Saccharomyces cerevisiae S288C: one gene and its partners. The protein of the gene in region 4 interacts with the protein of the main gene of each other region in a pairwise test. Each region holds a gene or a part of one and is shown on either strand. Other genes may lie near its edges.

What was found.
Region 1: the proteins of PIL1 (region 4) and MRP8 interact in binary tests that used the Saccharomyces cerevisiae proteins (3 or more experiments, as listed by UniProt).
Region 2: the proteins of PIL1 (region 4) and KAP122 interact in a protein complementation assay, tested with the Saccharomyces cerevisiae proteins (one study listed by BioGRID).
Region 3: the proteins of PIL1 (region 4) and FIS1 interact in a two-hybrid assay, tested with the Saccharomyces cerevisiae proteins (one study listed by BioGRID).

Annotation. Positions count from the first base shown.
Region 1 is NC_001143.9:176,775-180,747, reverse strand, and holds MRP8 (Mrp8p), read right to left. Parts: upstream 2,234-3,973; coding exon 1,574-2,233; downstream 1-1,573. Other genes in the region: succinate dehydrogenase cytochrome b subunit SDH3, read right to left, coding at 485-1,081; ribosome biogenesis protein LTV1, read right to left, coding at 2,576-3,967.
Region 2 is NC_001139.9:459,905-466,935, reverse strand, and holds KAP122 (Kap122p), read right to left. Parts: upstream 5,271-7,031; coding exon 2,025-5,270; downstream 1-2,024. Other genes in the region: PUF4 (Puf4p), read right to left, coding at 1-795; BIL2 (Bil2p), read left to right, coding at 1,501-1,893; ATE1 (arginyltransferase), read right to left, coding at 5,571-7,031.
Region 3 is NC_001141.2:239,789-244,141, forward strand, and holds FIS1 (Fis1p), read right to left. Parts: upstream 1,988-4,353; coding exon 1,520-1,987; downstream 1-1,519. Other genes in the region: ribonucleotide-diphosphate reductase subunit RNR3, read right to left, coding at 1-920; EFM4 (Efm4p), read left to right, coding at 2,239-2,928; YRB2 (Yrb2p), read right to left, coding at 2,973-3,956; ARC15 (Arc15p), read right to left, coding at 4,210-4,353. UniProt on the Saccharomyces cerevisiae protein: Has a role in mitochondrial fission. Has a role in outer membrane fission but not matrix separation. Required for targeting MDV1 to the mitochondria.
Region 4 is NC_001139.9:649,098-653,648, forward strand, and holds PIL1 (lipid-binding protein PIL1), read right to left. Parts: upstream 1,521-4,551; coding exon 501-1,520; downstream 1-500. Other genes in the region: PDC6 (indolepyruvate decarboxylase 6), read right to left, coding at 2,193-3,884. UniProt on the Saccharomyces cerevisiae protein: Negative regulator of cell wall integrity (CWI) in unstressed cells, probably by inhibiting protein kinase PKH1/PHK2 activity and regulating their downstream CWI pathways PKC1-MAP kinase pathway and protein kinase YPK1 pathway.

The DNA of each region.
Region 1 (3,973 bases), on a different chromosome or scaffold from region 4:
TAGAATAATAAAGTTTTGTTCGAATTGTTTTCTTTCTTCTTTCCTTGTTCCTTAATATCTCTGCACACCTAGTTATTCCTCGAAAATAATTCTTCTTGTATTTACTTTATACAAAAGAAAAATGACCGCCTATGTTTGCTTTTTCTTGCCAGTAACAAATAATAGCTTCAATAAGTATCCGGAAAGAAATTATCTTGATATCTGTAAAAAATCACTGATATTTTGTTGAATATGATTACTCTTGCGCTATCTTTTCCTGTTTTTCCTCTTGTTTGTTCCTTTATTTTCTCTATTGTATTTTACAGAAAGGCAAAAAAATAAAAAATGTGCCCCTAGTAAATATAGGTTTGTGTTAATCGGCATTTTGGGTTATAAAGATCTTAAAGAATAAATAAGTGCGGTATTGGGTCATATATAGGAACGTATATATAAAATTGGCTATATATATATTTGTGTGTAGAAACAGGTGCGTCGCCTTAAAGAATCATAAAGTTAATAAATAAGTACCGAGAACGGCGGTGAAACCAATGAGAGCGTAACCAGTTCTGTAAACGCCTTTCAATGTCAATTCCTTAGCGGTATCCCAGATCAAGTGTCTAATGGCGCCACCATAGTGAATTGCAAATAAGTAAGCAAAGGAACCCTTGATGGACCATTCGGTAATCTTGGAAAACTTCTGATGGTACCAATTAGAAACCTTTTCGGTAGTCAATCCAAGACCTAATAAACCAGAGACTCCGAAGAGTATAGTAAACAAGTAGAAACCTAGTCCCATAAGCACCAACGAAATACGGTGAAGAGAAGACAGGTACCAAGTTAATTGTGGCTGGTAAATGGTCAGATGTGGAGAAATAGGTCTCTTTGCTCTTTGCTTGTTTAATATTTGTTCTTCAGCAATTGCCGCTTTGGTGTTCATTTCACTGGCCACATTCTTCAATGGTGAGGTAGAAAGGAAGTTTGTTCTAGCTGTATTAAAAAGCAGCCTCCTCGAGGAGCTCAAGGCAGCTGCTCTTGAAAAGGCGGAGGGTTTCAGTAATAGAGCCGACTTATTCAGTCCTAACTTGACCATCATTGCAGACATCGTTTATTATTCTTAGAGCTTGTGATTGGCAATTTTTGGTTGGTCCTGAGATTTCTATGCGGGGATCTCGATATCATAATGCCAGTGCACATTTATACAAGTACCAAACGCTTAGAGCGGAAAACGGAGCGGGCTACCGCAGCCAATCAGAATGGACCTGGTCAAAAGTTAGATGATGCTTAAGACTACTGAATGGTATACAAGGTAATATATAGAAGGCTGTTGGTATACAGCTTTCAATCACAGATAAAAAGTATAGGTATACTTATGGGAGGAAAACTTTGAATTCTTTTCTTCTCTTTTTCACCACTAGAACATCCTTTAACTGCAATGCCGCGGAAAACATAGGTTTCATTGAAAGAGAATCCTGTTATGATATACTCAAAACTATATGTATATAGATATATATATATATATAAGTGAGGGAAATTTCTAGAACCTGGAACTCAAGCCCTCTTATTCATTGATTTTTCATTTTTTTTCATTTTCTGTTTACCATATTTCGGTTCCTCTTCTAAGGGAGAGACCTAGATAGCGGGCAACATCATTAAATGCATCATCTAGCTCATCTTTGGAGAACTTTTCCAACTCCTTAGAAATCTCTTCATCAGTGGTCTCATTAATGTGAAAGGCTTCCACCTTACCTTCCAGGAAGTTTTCAAAATCTTCTTGTTCCTTTAGAGTTGGTGGCAATCTTTCGTAGAATTTAGCAAGTCTTACCAGTTTTAAGTCTGGGATGTCTTTAAATTCTTTCAACGACTTAGGGAACACTCCGTCTGAAATAGCAGGAATATCACCATCTGCATTAGGCAGTGGCGCTATAACGTCATCATCATCTTTTTTCAAAGAGTTAACAAGTCTTCTGATAGACCTTTCCTCGATGAAATTTAGCTCACCCTGTAGTTCTTTGACTAATTCCACTAGATCTTCATTTGTGGCAAAATCAGTGGCATCGAATTGAGTAGCGGATCCTGATTTCTTCGAGATAGATTTAGAGAATTTCGAATCAAAATCAGTTACGTCGTGCTTTTGTTTATCTAACTGCAATTCCAGCACACGCTCTCCTGTCTTAGAGATAATCAGACTTTGCTTCTTCACTAAGTCTTGTAATTCAGAGACTTGCTTCTGCAGTAATTCAATTTCGTTAGACATTTTCTTCCTGCTATTTATTTATGTGTATTTACTTCCTTTCTTAAAATGTACTTTATCTGCGGAATACGAGTAGTAAGACAAGATATCTCAAACGGTTACTAATTTGAACGGCTCTTTGAAGCAATGCACGCCGGTTTTCTTTATACTAAAACAATATTTGAATAATGAAAATCGACCTCCTTCCTCCACCCCCTTTCTCCGAAATCCACAAAGAGCACCGCCGCGTTTCATAATTATTACCCGGTGGGCAGGATGTATTTTAGCATCAATGCATTCTAGGCTAAGTATACATGTCTACACAGTACTTGTAATGTAGGTGCTTTCTCATCTCATTCTACTCCTCTAAAATTTTAAGCTGCTTAGTGTATTGGTGACCTTCTCAAGTTTCTTTTTCTCTTGCCTTTCACGATTTCTTCTCTGAGACAGTTTACCTTTGCTTACTTCATCAGCAGCTTCCTTCAGCCTTTCAATTTCTTTATCTTTCTTAGCCAGTTTACGGCCACCACTCTCCAGTTCGTAATTGTCCAAAAAGTCATCAAGCATTGACTCAAAATCAGATCTTTCTGCTGACATGTCAAATGGTTGGTAATTTTGTTCTTCGTCCTCTTCTAGTTCTTCCTCATAATTTTCGTAACCATTGATGATTTGATCGTACTGATCATCCAGTACTGTCATCGTCTCTGTACGCGCAATGGCACTTGAACTCATGGAAAATCCAGATACATCTGACATGGCACCCTTTTTTTGACGGCTCTTTCTTTTCTTCTTCCCCGTCTTGCTTTTGTCTTGGATAGAGGGCAATTCGCCCAGCACATCTTCCTCTTCAGAGGGATTTACACTGTCTAAACCTGCATTAGAAAATTCATCATCCGAGTTATGCTTTTCTAGTATAGAGTTATCTTTTTGAAATCTTCGAACATCAGCTTGATAATCGATATTTTCCAAGTCCTCCAGGTTTTCGATGTTATCAAATTGCGCCATTTCCTTAACGTAGTTTTCATCTTCAAAATTTTCTACATTATCAATATCCCACTCATCAAACTCATCCTCGAATTCGTCTTCATCTTTTGCTTCACCGCTCCCTAGTAATTGTGCGAAAATGTCATCTTCCTTTTCTTCTTCTCCATAGTTATCGCCTTGAAGTTGTGTCTTTTTGCTGATGTCTTCAACCACAACATCATCATTAACAACATATGCTTCATCTTCTAAAGCTTCAAGCACCTCTCTTAATGCAGGATTCATATCAGGTTTGAAACCTCTAATTTCATCGGTGGTATCTTGTTGGTGTAGTAAATATTCTGGCTTTGCCATCCCTCTTTGAAACACAGGTAGCGCGTCATCCTTCTCAATTTCATCACGTCTATACTTAGGTTCGATGAATAAATCTTCAATGTTTTTTTTTTCGACCTTCTGTTCATTGCCTTTGGATGCTATAAAGATGGAGTTTTCAGGGTCGAGACCTATTGGCTTCAAATGTTGAGTATAATCGTATTCAGAATCATCAAAATTAATACCATATAAAGCTGCTTCTCCCACATGAGCCCTCCTACCCTTTGGTTTTGTTGAACTCACGTCTTTTTTTCGAAGATCTGCTTCTGGAGAAGTTTTATTTGGATTGGAGACAGGAACCAAAACGTGCGCAGAGGCATCTGTATCATAAAATGAAGGATCATCATGGGGTCTGTGTACCACCACGTACCTTTGGGAGTTTTTAGAGCTAAATTTCTTCGACATCTTCGT
Region 2 (7,031 bases), 190 kb from region 4:
TGACGTTGAGGAGGGAGTATTATCAAAAGATATGGATTGAGTTCTGGTTTTTGCAGTATTGTTAGCTCCTACAGACGGTTTCTTAGCCTTAGAAAAATTCTGCATGTCAGATTGGAAGTCCTTTGACAAGGTTACATTGTTGGCCGCATTGATAAGGTCAGTTGGTGATAAAGCATGAAAAGTTTGTCTTCTGAACGAACTAGCCTTATTATTAGACTCCCTGCCCTTAGATGGTAGGCTTTCTTGTAGAGTAGCGGTGGTTTCTTCAATGGCTACAGATGCTGATCCTGGTACGTTTGAATGAGTCCATAACGGATCAGCCGATGCGATTGGCAATACCTTCATTGAATTGTCATTTATCAATGGGTTTAGATTTTGTCCACCTTGAGTTGCTACCGCAGCACCCGAAGACAGCATTTGAAATGGAAGTGAGTCATTCTTGAATAACATTGGTGGACCGCCTGCATTCAAGGGCGAGCTACTCAATGGTGCTGTTGGATCATTAAAATCAGGGGGCGGAAAAAATGGACAAGGATTATGAGGAACCTGCATCATTTGAGAGTAGGGCATGAAGCCCATTCCACCCATCATTTGTGGATGTGGAAACATTTGCGACGGAGGGCCATTAGCGAATTGAGAATCTTGAGAAACTTTATTCGCAAATGCATTAGAGGTGGCGTTTTCCTCTGGATCATCTAGTTGCAACTGCTCTAAAGCAGAATTGACTGTTTCTGAAACGACAGGGTCTACTGATGGTACATCATCGATTTCTTCTTTCAAACCTTTTGTAGACATAACGTAGGTCCACTTAAAAATGTTACAGCGCTTAGTTCTCTCTTTCTTAAAAGATATCGAGGACAAAGAAACAGTAAGAACGGAAAATGAACAGAGACTCTTAAAAGAACCTAAAGAATAAGCGAAAATAAAATATGAAAAGAGAACTAGTGGACAATATCAACAGGAATTTTAAGTGTACTAAAAATAAATCGTCTGGAATAGTGTACAAAAACGAATAATATTAATGACGGCTCAAATCCTAACGTTGGAAACTAAAATACAATAAAAATAATGTACAATGTAATATACGGAAGAAAGTTTTTTTTCTGTTTCAACAAAAAAAAAAACTATTCAAAAAAAAGACGTGAGGTACTGTTTGCTGTTCACCTTCGGAGAGAGATAACCAACCGATATTCTCTTTGAGTCTGAGTGATTTGTTAAACAAGGTGCAACGAATAAGAATATAACTATACTATCTACTATATTGATCATTATTTTTTATTCTCTGGAGGACCCCAGAACAAAAAAAATATAGAAAAAAAACAATCGTCAAGAGTGACAAATACATGAGTAATAAGAAAAGGCGTCACAAATTAAAATTTGCAGTCACAAAGAGAAATAGACAGAGAATAGACTGTCTGGAATTAAGATGTCTTTTCTATCTGAGCTCCCAACAAGGCAACGGTATTGGACAGATATAATTCACAAATCACAATTCACTCCATGGAAGACACGATACGTCCATTAAATTACGCAGATATCGAGACCAGCGGGCCCATAAACCTTCTTGAGACAACTAATAACCTAAAAAGCTCGTTAAAAAAGTTTTCACAAAAGGCAAAGGGATCACACATTTCCAGAGAAAGGATTCACCATTTTAGAAAATGGAAAAATAAGACCGAATCACTTTCAGAAAACCATTTGAAGCCTCCTCCTGACGTCGACTCTCTATGTTTCAGTAACTGCTTTCAACCTGACGCCCTGTCTGGAAATGTATTTTTACCCCCCAGAAGCTCAAACATGTATTGGAATGAAAAGCAATTACAATTAGAAATGGAAATTCTAAAATTTTTATCACTAAATACTAGCAATGAATGCTGCACTTCTGATGATTAGCTTTTACACACATATATACTGCTACTATCTTTAAAGCACAAAAAAAAAATCTATCAAAAAGGATCAACGCATTACTAAATAAAATGTAACAAAGAATAGCCTTCACCCTCAGCGGAGAAATTCTTAACAAATCATCCTTGGTAATTTGGAAGTGTGGTACAATCCAACCACCACTGCAAAATAACATTTCCAGCTGCTCTGCTTCCTCTCGTAATAAGTAATTTATTAATAAATTTTTCATGACCTGCAGGATTGTTACATATTTGGGGCAAAACAGCAACGAGCCACTCTCTTGCTTCAATTGGAAACTTGGCTACCAAAGCTCTTAGCAGATCTGTGTAACTATTCAGATCGGACCTTTGTGTGTGGAATAAGCCATACATAATTTGGTACACAAGGTCTCCTCCTATAGAGGAAACTTGTTGCCTAACAGTTGTGAGTTCTTCTTGGTTGTATTTCTTATTATTGATCAACTTAGTCCAAAATTTTGCCACCGCAACAATTGTGAACTTTTCTCTTGAAGGTATTAATTTTAAAAATTGAGGTAAAATAAATGATGTCCAATGTTTACTGCCAATAGCTAAGCCTGGCTTCACGTCCAAAACGTTATTAACAAAACCTATTGTCATTTGTAAAAGGTCCGGATCATTGATAATATATGCATCATAATAGACTAGAAGGATCTTTTCAAACATGAAATCAAATTCTTGTGGTGTTAGTTCCTTCCTGAACTCTGAAATAAGCTTTTCTAATAAATAAACAAAATAAGGCAAGCAAGTAGCAAGCTCACAGTTGGGGACATGCCGCAAAACAAAATTCATAACTTCAGACATATTGTACTTGAGGAAGTACGGTTCCCCGTCGGGCAGATTTAATCCTTTACCAACAATCAAACAACCGATCTCCACAAAGGCGGAGTTTTTACAATATATTGAATTATCCAAGACCTTATCAATGGTGCACATAATTTTCGATCGGATTTGTAAGGGATCGCTGGACCAGAAACTTTGAAACTCAGATAACCTTTGTAGTAATGCATCATTTTCGATGATTTCAGTAGGTTGGATCAAACTTGTTGCTAGCTCAGATATACAGTATAATAGACAATTAATATAATCTTGTTGTTCTTGTAACTGTACCGATGAAGCCAAACAATGCTCTATTGAGCCGCTCAATAGGTTCGTCAATTGTAAAATATATTTAGCTTGCTCCTCTGGACCGTTGGAGACTTGACATTGAACGACATAACCTATAGATCTAACCAATTTAGTTCTAGTGAAATGTGAAACATTGGAGTCTGGCATAATGACTGTGTTTAAAAAGCTTATAAAATGCATCAAATATGGAGTCAACTCCTCACGGCATGTCTCACATAATGTTGAAACAGTCTTGATAACCATAACTTCAAGTTTATCGTTCGAAATTTTTTCTTGTTCGTTTTTACTAGTAAAATTGGTGCAAGTGTGCAAACCTTGAAATAAAGCTTCCACGTATGGGTTTAATTGAAAAGGTTCCTGTTTAAAATAACCAGCCAAAGTGCCGATTAAAGTTGTACTTGTTCTTACGAAGTCAAGTTTCAAAATTTGACTGACTTTTGTACTGGCACTAGTTTGGAAACCAGTTTGGAAGACGGATATGACATTTTGGTTGAAGAATTTGTTGGCATCAACGATATTTTTAATCCATGGGCTTTCTGATAGAGTCATATCAACCAATATAGTATTCAAAACAAAACACATCGTTTCAATTCGAAACAAAACATCAGTATCCTTGATGATGAGAGTCTCATCACTCGCAGCAGGCATTTGGCCCATACCATCAATTAGCACATTTGTTAAATTATCGTTTCCCAAAATAGACCAGAGAGATTGAGCAAGGTCACTGACAGCGTTTCTAAAATCTTCAAATTCGTTCACAGAAGTGCTCTCACCCTCTTCTTCAATTATTCTTTGTTTCACACTCAAAGAAATTTTGGGTAAATAAATATTGATCAACTGCTGAAAAATTTGTGTAGACAGCTCAATAGAATTTGGCCTCAAAGTTTCGCTAGCCAAATTAGTGTAAGCATCCGATAAATCCAACCAAAAATCAACCATTCTAACAGAAAAGAACTCTTGTAAGACAGGAGTTAAAGGGAAATTGGTCATTTGCAAAAGGACTTTGATGTATTCCTGAATATATTCATCTTGAACTTGACCATTATCAGCTGCTTGAATGTTAGTAAATAATTTATTACAAACACTTAACGTGTTAATTTGCAAGAAATCCACAATACAAATGGCCAATTCCTTCAATTCGGAAAAAAAATCATTGGTAACTAAATAATTCATATATTGTAGCATCCAAGAATTTTTGTTAGATATGTCGGTTATGCCAGAATCAGGCCTTACTACACCTAAGAAAATACACTCGATTTGTTGTCTCAAATCGTAACTCATTAATAATGGATCATTAGCAAAAACATTACCAAATATTGTTAGGATCTTTTCCGCATTCTCATAACCGTCCGATCCTTCTGTAGACTGATACATCAAGTCAATCAGGTTTTGAAAAATTTCCGACAAATCCATTCTACCACTTGAAGATACGCTTCTGGTTAATGAGATATAATTAATCCAAGCAGTAATACAATCAAATACGGTAGGATTGAAGACAGCTTGTGCAGTTAAGTTCAAGTTGATCAAAGCCATAGTTGAAATATATAAATGCTCATGGACTACTTCGTGGATTTGAGACATTGAATGCCTCTTTGTTTGGAACTTCGTCAAATCTTCCACAATAACTTCTGTAAACGTCAATGCCAGTTCATTATGTTTCTGAGATAGGCTAACAAATTGAGACAGTTGCTCGTATGTTAAGGAGCAGTTGATTGAGTCAAGCAACAGTTGGTCTGCATTAATGTTTTGATTTTGAACCGACATAAGTTGAATAAACGTATTTATGGGATTGTTCCATTGCTTAATCATATTTTCATTTCCAGCGTTATTAAGCTGCGGATCGTTGATTTTAGTGAAGATCAATGACAAGTTTGACATTAACTTTTTAATTATGATTAGAGATTGCCCGTACATATTAGGATTGGAAACGTACAATGTACTGAATTTCGTCAAGTACAATAAATTTGACCTGAAAACATTCCATAGGGTTTCATAATCGTTTTCACCCCGCGTATTTAGTTGCACAGTTAAAGTCAGTGCACCAAAGTACTTGACATTCGCAGAGTACTTGTCATCAGATAAAAGCTCATTAGCTAGGTGGAAGCCTTGCTCTGATTTCTGGATTGACTGTAAACTCTGTTGAATCTGATTAACATCATGTTTCGGATGAGGAGAGTACAGCTCTTCAATAAGAGCCACAACCTCGTGAATGGAGCTCATCAAAAACTAAGAATAAGAGACTAGTTACTATGGTATTCAAATCTGTGTTTAGCAATATCTATATGTTCTGAAGTTTTTAAGAACTGTTAGCAATACAGTGAAGTGCTACAAATAGTTCGAGCTTTTTCTCAAATTTTTCACGCGATGAGGAGACAAAAAAGCATCAGGTATTTAATGGATAAATCACCTCCAAAACTATTCCATCAACTATATAAAATTATCTCAGCGCGATGGTGAGAATGTTTGAATGCTAAAAAATGTTATACATTAGGATTGTTATTAGAATAGTGTGTTGAAGGCTCACATTTGCTCACTATATAAAATGACGGCTTTCATACAAGTTTCGAAGCCAAATAACCGTATCACGTCACAAATACGTTTCTTGACATTCGGAGGTTCGCTATAAAAGTTAATTAATGGTCGAATCCCCTCCGTTTCGATTTCGAAGAGAAATAGTCTTCCCTCCAGGTCAGTGATCTTGCCAGATTGCATAATGTCCAGCAATTCCCATAGCGGGAGTAATCCCGGCACCACATTAGGAATACCATTTGGAGCATGGCCATTGTGTTCTTTCAAATGGTAGATGGTATCTAAATCTTCCTCTTCGTACGGTATACCGTAAAGTTCTTTCAATTCCAATGCAGATTCATTTGCAGATTTAAACGCACACCCTCCCACACCGTATATTTCCTCAGCAATATTCTTGTACTTGACAACATTATCAGTGGGAAATCCCTCCCCTCTTCCGGTTTCAGAGTCAACGAGGTAGAGCTCCTTAGTAACTTTCGTCTCTTCTTCACCTATGACAAAGAGTTTGCCCCTAGAAATCATATCCTGAATGGGTTTCAATGGGATATATTTACTGTGACACACATCCAGTACTTCCGCACCATAGTTTGCTTTATAATTCATCTTCGGACAGTCCTCAATATAGTACCCCAGGTAATAGTATTGCAGATTTGTCCTTTGAATGATGGCAAGATCGCGCAAAGCACTGAGCTTCCCTAGGGACCATTTACTGTAGTCTGGATCCCAAATAAAATATACCGAAGATATACCACTGGGCAAGATATCTGACACAGTGATGGCAATTAATTTACCCTCATAGTAGTAGCATTCGTGCACAGGACCCATATGCTTCAGTTTCTCGCCTGGCTTCATTCGCTGCCAATTGTTTAACTGCTCCCATGATTCTTGTGTCCCCAACACCGCTTCAGGGCCAAAGGGCGTATCACATAGGAATCGCTTAAAGGACTTCGGCGAATTATTGTAGTCTTGATGCACTTTTTCCTGATATTTGACAAATAAGTGATACTTTTCTTCACTATAAAGTGCAGGCTCAAATCGGGTATAGAATGTTTTAGAATTCATCTCTGCATTAACAATTTTGCCCACAAAATCACTGCTTGCAACAGCGGCTGGGCAGTAGTCCTCACTTGTTATTCTAGTAGCAAAGCGGCTGATGCATTTTTTCAATTCCTTTGTCATATTCAATTCTTGAGGGGCAGTTCGAATGGTGTATAACCTACAACAATTCCTCAACGGGTCCACTTTATAAAGAAACTTACCAGACCTTCTAAATCCCATATTACACATGCGATCATACGTGGCTACATCCATATGTTCCACGAAAGAGCCAATTGTGCAGTTTTCAATCTTTACAACGTCCATTTTGTTCATATAACGATGAGCCCACGAATCCAATGCGAACAACTGATCCATGTTGCCCCCCTTATTACCGTGACAATACCCACACTTTGC
Region 3 (4,353 bases), on a different chromosome or scaffold from region 4:
TCTGCATGCCATGGCTCCAAGAAAAGGGCGAAAGCACCAGGTCTCTTGTTACCACCCTGGTCCACATAACGGGCAGTATTATTGAAAACACGAATCATAGGAATCAACCCGTTTGAAGTACCGTTGGTACCAGCGATATAAGAACCTGTGGAACGGATGTTGTTGATATGAAGACCAACACCACCTGCAGTTTTGGAAATCATAGCACATTCTTTCAAAGTATCATAAATACCTTCGATAGAGTCATCCTTCATGGCAATTAAGAAACATGAAGACATTTGAGGATGTGGCGTACCAGCGTTGAATAAAGTTGGGGAAGCGTGAGTGAAGTATCTTAACGACATCAAATTATAAGTCTTCAGCACAGATTCGATATCGCTACCATGGATACCTAGCGCCACACGCATTACCAAATGCTGAGGACGTTCTGCCACTTCACCGTTCAGTCTTAGCAAGTACGAACGCTCCAGTGTCTTGAATCCGAAATACGTATACTGGAAATCCCTATCGTACACGATGGCCGAGTTCAAAGTATCTTTGTTTTCCATGACAATGTTGTAAATTTCGTCCGAAATCATAGGAGCATGCTTTCCAGTAGCTGGGTTAATCCAGTCGTGTAAATCCTCAATAACTTTGGAGAATTGCTTTGTGGTTTGCTTATGTAAGTTAGAGATGGCGATTCTAGCGGCTAGAGTGGCATAATCAGGGTGCACAGTGGTCATGTATGCACATGTTTCAGCTGCAAGATTGTCCAGCTCAACGGTAGTAACACCGGAGTACACACCAGAAATAATACGTTGGGTTACCTTAACAGCATCAATACGGTTTGGGTCTAAACCGTATGACAAACGGGTGATACGGGAGGTAATTTTATCGAATTGAACGGGCTCTTTGCGGCCGTCTCTTTTAATAACGTACATTTGTGTGGGAGTATTTGATTTATTGCTGCTGCTATTCTTGCTTGTCATATTTATTTCAACTTGGATATGAGATGAGAGAAAGGCAAGGAAGAAGGCAAAAGAAGGCAAAATAGCAGTGCGTTTATATACGTTTTGCAGCAGAACACGAAACAATATAAAGAACGCTGACACGAAAAACGAAACGCGTCAGCATCTCACAATACAGTATTACGATTTAACAATAGACTATTGTTTTTTTCCCATCTTGTCGTTTGGTCCTCGCCATGGCAACCGGGTTTTTGCCCCTTTGAGCAGCGCCTAGGTGTCGTTGCTGCGACAACCACGAAAAAAAAAAAAAAAAAAAAACAAAAGAACAACGGCACGCAATGTTGCTGTGACAACCGTAGGCAGATAACTTGGCTTTTTTTACTACTTTAGGAAAATTAGCAGCCAAGAACGAGGGCTTGCTCTGCTACCTAGTTCAAACTGAAACAAGCCTTCACTTTCTTTTCTTTTCTTTTTTTTTTTATCTAACAACTGAAGATTAAATGATAAATGTTTACGCGTGCGTGCGATTCATTCTTATGTATGTACGTATGTGCTGATTTTTTATGTGCTTGTTACCTTCTCTTGTTTCTTAAGAAGAAACTAGCCACGGCCACAGCGCCGGCTAGTACGCCTCCAGCGACGACAACACCCTTGAGTGTTTCCTTCTGGATCTTATCCTCTACCATACTCTTCAAAGCGCCCACCTGCTTGTTATTACGCTCATGCTCAAATAAAGTGTCTACATATCTCTTCGCCATAGAGTATTCACCGAGTTTGTAGCAACCTATGGTCAGATAATATAGGCATTCTCGTCTACGGGACTCGGCCTCTTTGTAAATGTCTGTGAGGATTTTCACACCAAGCCTTTCGTCATTCACGTCAGTGGATTTGATCAGCCCCCATGCGTAGTTAAACCTTGACTGTATGGTAGCGGTGGGCCCCCCCTCGGAGACGACTTGCTGGCGCAGAATCTCCAGCTGCTGCGGATAGAGTGGTTCGTATGCGTCCTTAAGAGTTGGCCAAAAATCTACTTTGGTCATACTTATGTTGTATGGCTGTGCTCTGATCTGTGCTTCTATGTGCCGTTTTTACGCAAGGTATATGATAACTTCTGTGCAGAATAGTGGCAATGGCAGCTTTGCTTTGAAAGGGGTCCAGCCTAGCCCGCTTGCGGTGTTCCGGCATAAATGCGCAAAAAGATTGGTTCATGAAAAGAAGTGAAAAAAAATCGATGAGCTCAGCTCTTAAGAACGGTATTATGGAACGAACTCAACCCGAAAAGGTAGTACAGATGCAGGGCACGGCAGATTTGAGCACTTCGAAACTTGGTACGAAAAAATACTGGGATGAACTGTATGCCCTGGAGCTGGAGAATTTCAGGCGGAATCCGCAGGATACCGGGGACTGTTGGTTTAGCGATAGCGATGCTGAACAAAAGATGATTGATTTTCTGGTAGATAACATTGGTGCGTACAGAATTTCTGAGAATGCTTCTGTTGTAGACCTCGGTACAGGTAATGGACACATGTTATTTGAACTGCATCAAACGGAATTCCAAGGGAAACTGGTCGGGATAGACTATTCTGAGGAAAGCGTCAAACTCGCTAGTAATATAGCCGAGGCCACCGGTGTTGACAATTTCATCAGTTTCCAGCAAGCAGACATCTTTAGTGGTGACTGGAAGCCGGGAAAGTATGACATTGTGTTGGATAAAGGGACCCTAGATGCCATTTCATTGAGTGGCATGAAGATCAACGGTAAACTTGATGTAGTCGATGTATACGCCGGAGTAGTGGAAAGGATTTTGAAAAAAGACGGTATTTTCTTGATCACTTCTTGTAATTTCACACAAGATGAACTAGTAAAGATCATAGAGACTGATAATTTGAAAATGTGGAAAACAATAAAATACCCTGTTTTCCAATTTGGCGGGGTCCAGGGTGCGACCATATGTAGTGTAGCATTTGTTAAACAAAACTGATTTGTTTTTATCTTTGATTTATTTTTAACGTTATTTCTCTTTACTTATTTAGGAACGGATTTAACTATAATGTTATACAATTCATCCGTGGTTTCCTTCTTACCAGTCTTTATGGCGTACTGTGCAGGATCACCGTTATCATCTACTGCTAGTAATCTTATGAATTTTTCGCTTTGCAAAGAACCTGTAAATCCTTTTTGCACAGTGAACCCCTTGACCAGTTGGATGTTTAAAATGACTTTTAAGATACCACGAGACCTCATAACAATACGCGTCTTCTCGACGTCGTCCTTACTTTTATTGATTTTGATGATACCAACACCTCTTTCCTTCCAGCCTTCTTTTATGTTGGAAAGTTGGTACAGCTTCGCATTGACTTGATATATGCACTCCTCAGACTCTTCACCAGACTTGACTTCCTGTTTCTGCAATTTGAGGGGTTTTGGTTTGTCTTTTGTATCTTCTGAGGCATTCGCTAGTTGTTCAGATCCACTATGGACTTTATCTTTGTCAACATCAGTAGCTTTCTTTTCACTTTCAGAGTTATTTTCTGTTTTGTTTTTCAGTATGTTGAAGCCGCTGCCAAATGATAAACCTGAACCAAATGCAAATGGCTTCTTTGTTTTGCTGTCAGAGGCTGGTAAACTTTCAGTACTGGTAGTTGCATCTCCATCTTTCGTGTCCTTTTTGGCAACACCAAACCCAGTTCCAAATTTAGATGCGGCACCAAACACGAATTTATCCTCCTTTTTGTCATCTTCCACAATACCAGATTCTACGGTCTTTCCGTCGTCAACCTTGATCTTCTTATGCGATGGTTCTTGGTCTTTTTTACCTTCCTCCTTTTTCTCCTCATCATTTTTATTGGGTGCTTCTGATTTGTCACTCGTTTCTTCCGCTTGTTCATCCTGATCTTTTTCCCTCGGTCTCTTAGGAGTTCCATCTAGTTTATCGATAGGATTTTCAACTGCAGTTTGTTTCACCTCAGAATTTTCCCTGGCTGCATTGCCACCATTGGTCTCACTCATGCTCTCAAAGTTTATGCGTACTTGTTTTGTGCAAATTGATTTGTTGACATTTTGGTTTGAGTAGCAACTGAGCTTTTTAAAATCCAGGCATTTATATCTTCAACCTCGCCAAACAATGTCAATTTTTTTAAAAAAAAACTCAATACCTACATCACCGCGAAATGCCTGAAGTAAAAGCATATAACAAACGCGACCCTTAAAATTACGTATATATATGTATATTTCTTTATACTAAGTTTTACTGGGCAGAGTATCATACAGTTCTTCTATCCGATATATAATGAACGATAGGTGTGACACCACTGACTTGAGTAATTCTTTCCAGCCACGCAAGCAAGACACCCCCTTGTTTCTGGCCCTGAGGTACGGACATTCCTTTGTAGAGATACTTTACCAG
Region 4 (4,551 bases):
GAAGGCGGTGAAAACAAAAAGAATATTAAAAAAAGTAATGTATGGGTTCTCGTTGTACGGATGTTTAAAATGTCCTGAAAAATACCAATTAGACGGTTCTGTGCTTGTTATATATAGATGTCTATACGACTCAACATATGTATGTTGCTGCATTTTAGAAAAAAATTAGGCATTAAACATTAGGCTACACAGGAAATAATGTTTCCTATCAAAAGAGTTCTAACTTGAATTGTTCCTTCACAATTAAAAAAAATAAAAGAGTACATATTTAGGAGGGGGAAGAGATATTGATAATAGACTAAAGTAAGGAGTGAGGAGAGGGCAAAATACAATAATAGATGAAAAAAAAAATAGGAAAATAAAACAATTTTTTCAGAGTGAGGGAACAGAAATGATTATCTGTCCACGCATTAATTAAAAGAGATTAATTAGTATGGTAACTTGTTCTTTTCTGCTGGTTTTTTTTTTTTTGTTTCTAATAGATTGTTGATTTATTTTGATTAAGCTGTTGTTTGTTGGGGAAGAGACTCACTTTGCTGGTGTCCGACTTGTTCATGTTCTTCAACAGCACCTTCTTCTTCTTGTTCAGGTTCTTCAATTTGTCCATCTTCTTGTTCGTCTTCGGACCACCTGCCTTGACCGTCTTCCTCTTCCTCTTCTTCGCCTTCTTCAGGTTCGAAGTCTTCGTAATCCTGCTTGAAACTTAAAGTAGGCTTGACTTGGGCAGAGTCTAGTGTCCATTCATTCAGTGCGCTTTCAGCATCAATAATGATTTGTTTAGAGGCTTCATACCCATCGTAAGCAGGCCTGGTTTCACCTGGAGTGACAGGAGAGTCGTCCAATAGTTCCAAGAGAGCCTTACCGTAACCAGCGATTAAAGCAATTTTCTCTGAATGTTCGATGATGGAGTCAAATTGGTAGTTGAAAGCAGCTCTCAACTTTGACCTTGTGATATTAGATAATTGAGCTTCAGCGACCAAAGATTCAGCCTCAGCACGCACCAATTCTTGTTCCAAGACCTCAATCTTAGGTGATTGAGGATCTTTGTATTTCAAGTAGGCGATTTTGTCGGTGATCTTGTCCTTACGGTCTCTAGATGGTTGAACAGAACCTTCGATATCTCTGATGGACTTTAGAGTCAATCTGTATTGGTCATAACGATCGATAAATTGGTCGTCTAATTCACTAACTTCATAGATCAAGACACCTAATTTATCAGTGATGTCGGAAACATCGTCATCGTTTTCCAACCCCCAAATAGACAATTGCTTAGCAGCGTCACGTCTTTCGTTGGCTGTCAATTCCATGGACCTCAAAACATTCTTTTCAATCTTAACCAATTGAGACAACTTTCTGGATAATTCTGGGCCAAAAGCTCCAGCAGCACTTCTCCTAAAGCTGTAAGCTAGACCACCCTTCCCAAAGAATCTACCTTTGGTTGTAGATGGTGGTGGCGGTGGGTTCTGTAATTGAGAGGCGGTAGGTGCCCTGGAATTTCTTAAAGAGTAAGTTCTGTGCATACTATATACTTGATGCTGATATATTCTTCACTTTGCAATACTGCTAACAATGGAAAAGTATAGGTAAATAAATGTGCAGATGCAGATGTGAGACAAATTTTCTTTCTTGGGTTGGGATAATCAACGCATTGTACCCAAACGACGGGAAACAAGGAAGGATGCAGAATGAGCACTTGTTATTTATAAAAAGACACGGGAGGGGGAATCCCGTCTTTCGTCCGTCGGAGCCAAAGAGATGAGCCAAAGCAGAAAAACAGGGGACGCCGCCCTTCTTCCGTCCCGTGCGTGAGGGGGGCGCGGCCATTCGGTTTTTGCAATATGACCTGTGGGCCAAAAATCGAAAAAAAAAAAAATAAGAGGCGGCTGCGGAATTTTATAAGACAAGCGCAGGGCCAAAGAAAAAATAATAATTGACGTGGCTGAACAACAGTCTCTCCCCACCCCTTTCCAAAAAGGGGAATGAAATACGAGTTCTTTTTCCCAATTGGTAAATATTCAACAAGAGACGCGCAGTACGTAACATGCGAATTGCGTAATTCACGGCGATAACGTAGTATTTAGATTTAGTATAATTTGAACCGATGTATTTATTTGTCTGATTGATTTATGTATTCAAACTGTGTAAGTTTATTTATTTGCAACAATAATTCGTTTGAGTACACTACTAATGGCTTATTGTTTGGCATTTGTAGCGGCAGTCAATTGCGCTTGTTTGATCAAACTTTCCGGAGCATCAAAGACGGGCAGTTTCAGTTCAATTAGTCTGATCACCGAGTTTTTCTGGAACTCTGAATCAGTGGTTAAGGCATCCCACTCACCCGTAGTGGCGATCTTGTGATTTTCGTACTTTTTCGCACCAAATGCGGGCAACAGGGCGAGGTGATCCCAGGTCTGGATTTCGTTGTACTCTGCGTGAGGCCCATGAATCAGCTTTTCGATAGTGTAGCCGTCGTTGTTAAGGACAAAAAGATACGGCTTTAACCCCCATCTGATCATGGTGGAGATTTCTTGGACGGTTAACTGCAAAGACCCGTCACCTATGAATAAGATGACTCTCTTGTTGGGGTCAATCTCCTCAGCGGCAAAGGCAGCACCTAAAGTTGCTCCTGTTGTAAAACCGATGGACCCCCACAACACCTGCGAGATACCGTAGGCGTCCTTAGGAAAGATAGTTTGATTGATACCGAAGGCAGACGTGCCGGTCTCGGAAATGATAACATCACCTTCTTGCAAGAATTTGGACAATTCGTTCCACAACCACTCTTGTTTCAAGGGCGTGCTAGCAGGTACACCTTTGTTTGCGGGAGTTTTGGTTGGTACGGGAACGCTCTTGTAGCCCTTAACAACATCGGGAATAACCTTCAGTAAGTTTTGTAGTGCAAATTTCATTTGTACACCGAGGAACGTAGCGTTCTTCACCTTTACGTAATCGGAATGAAACTCCACTACATTTTTAGTCTTGTAGGAGTAGGAAAACGAACCTGTGTTAAAATCAGAGAGCAAAGCACCGACCGAAAGGATCAAATCAGCCGACTCAACGGCCTGTTTCACGTCTTGTTTGGACAGCGTTCCCACATAAACACCGCCATATCTGGGATGCTGTTCATCTATTGACCCTTTACCTAGAGGTGTCACAAAAGCTGGGAATTGCGTCAAATCAATTAACTTCTGGGTTTCTTTTTTAACGTTGTGCCTAGAAGCACAGGCATCCGATAGTATAACAGGGTTTTTCGAATTCTGGATCAATTCTAGTACGGTATCAATAACTTCCTTTTCAGCTTCGGGATCGTTAGGTTTTAATGATAGATCAATCGGTTTTTCCAAAAGAGAACCAGGAACCTTTAGATCTACCAAATTCGCTGGCAACCCCAAGTAGCTAGGCCTTTGTGTTATAAATGTTGTCCTGATCAACCTATCGATTTCTGAAGGGGCTGTAGCAATGTCTGTAATCATTGATGTAGTTTCTGAGATATTGGCGGACATTCTGTGAAAAACGGTAAAATCACCGTTACCCAAGGTATGATGCAACAACAATTGCTTAGCCTGAGCGGAGATAGAGGGGACACCAACAACATGCAGTACACCGACGTGTTCTGCATACGATCCTGCAATACCATTCAAGGCGGATAATTCACCTACGCCAAAAGTAGTTACCAGCACAGATAAACCCTTGATGCGTGCGTAACCATCGGCGGCATAGGCGGCGTTCAGCTCATTTGCATTACCAGCCCATCTCAATCCATCTACCTCGTAAATCTTGTCCAATAGGGACAAGTTGAAGTCGCCTGGTAGCCCAAAAATGGTGTTAACATTAACTTGCTTCAATCTTTCAAATAAGTATTTTCCAAGAGTAATTTCAGACATTTTGTTGGCAATATGTTTTTGCTATATTACGTGGGTTTTTTATTTATACTGTATATAAAAGAGGACTGCAATAGCACAAGATTAAGATAGAATGGCTTCAAACAGCCGCCTTTTATACATATTGGTAAAAGCTCGCGAATCGCACCATATCCCTTATCCTGTAATCAAATCGATCTAGGTGCAGATACAGATCAATTCATAAAAAGAAATTGAAGCACCAGTTTATCACTACTACACTATCTTTTTCTTTTTTTTTTTTTTTTGCGAAGTTTCGCCCTTTGTTCAATATCACTTGATAAGTTGTGGGCTTTTTCTGTCACTCATTCGGCTTAAAAAGTATTCGTTCTTTTGTGTTTTATGAAAAGGGAACGTGATATAAAAAAACATCCTTTGGTGTGGGACATGGGCTTTTGTTTAGAGAATGGTTATCACTACCGCCCCCACCCTTGAAAGCCACAGAAAATGAAAAAGTATGTGAATAAGGTGTGAACTCTATAACATTTTGGCCAAATGCCACAGCCGATCTGCATATTCCAATGGACATAATGCAACAACAATTGATGTCACATTCTCTTACACACTTCGATTGGTCCGTACGTAGTACTTTTTACATAACTGACTCAGGCGTTTCCTTCATTGAAATGCTCATCTATTGCCAAGTACATAG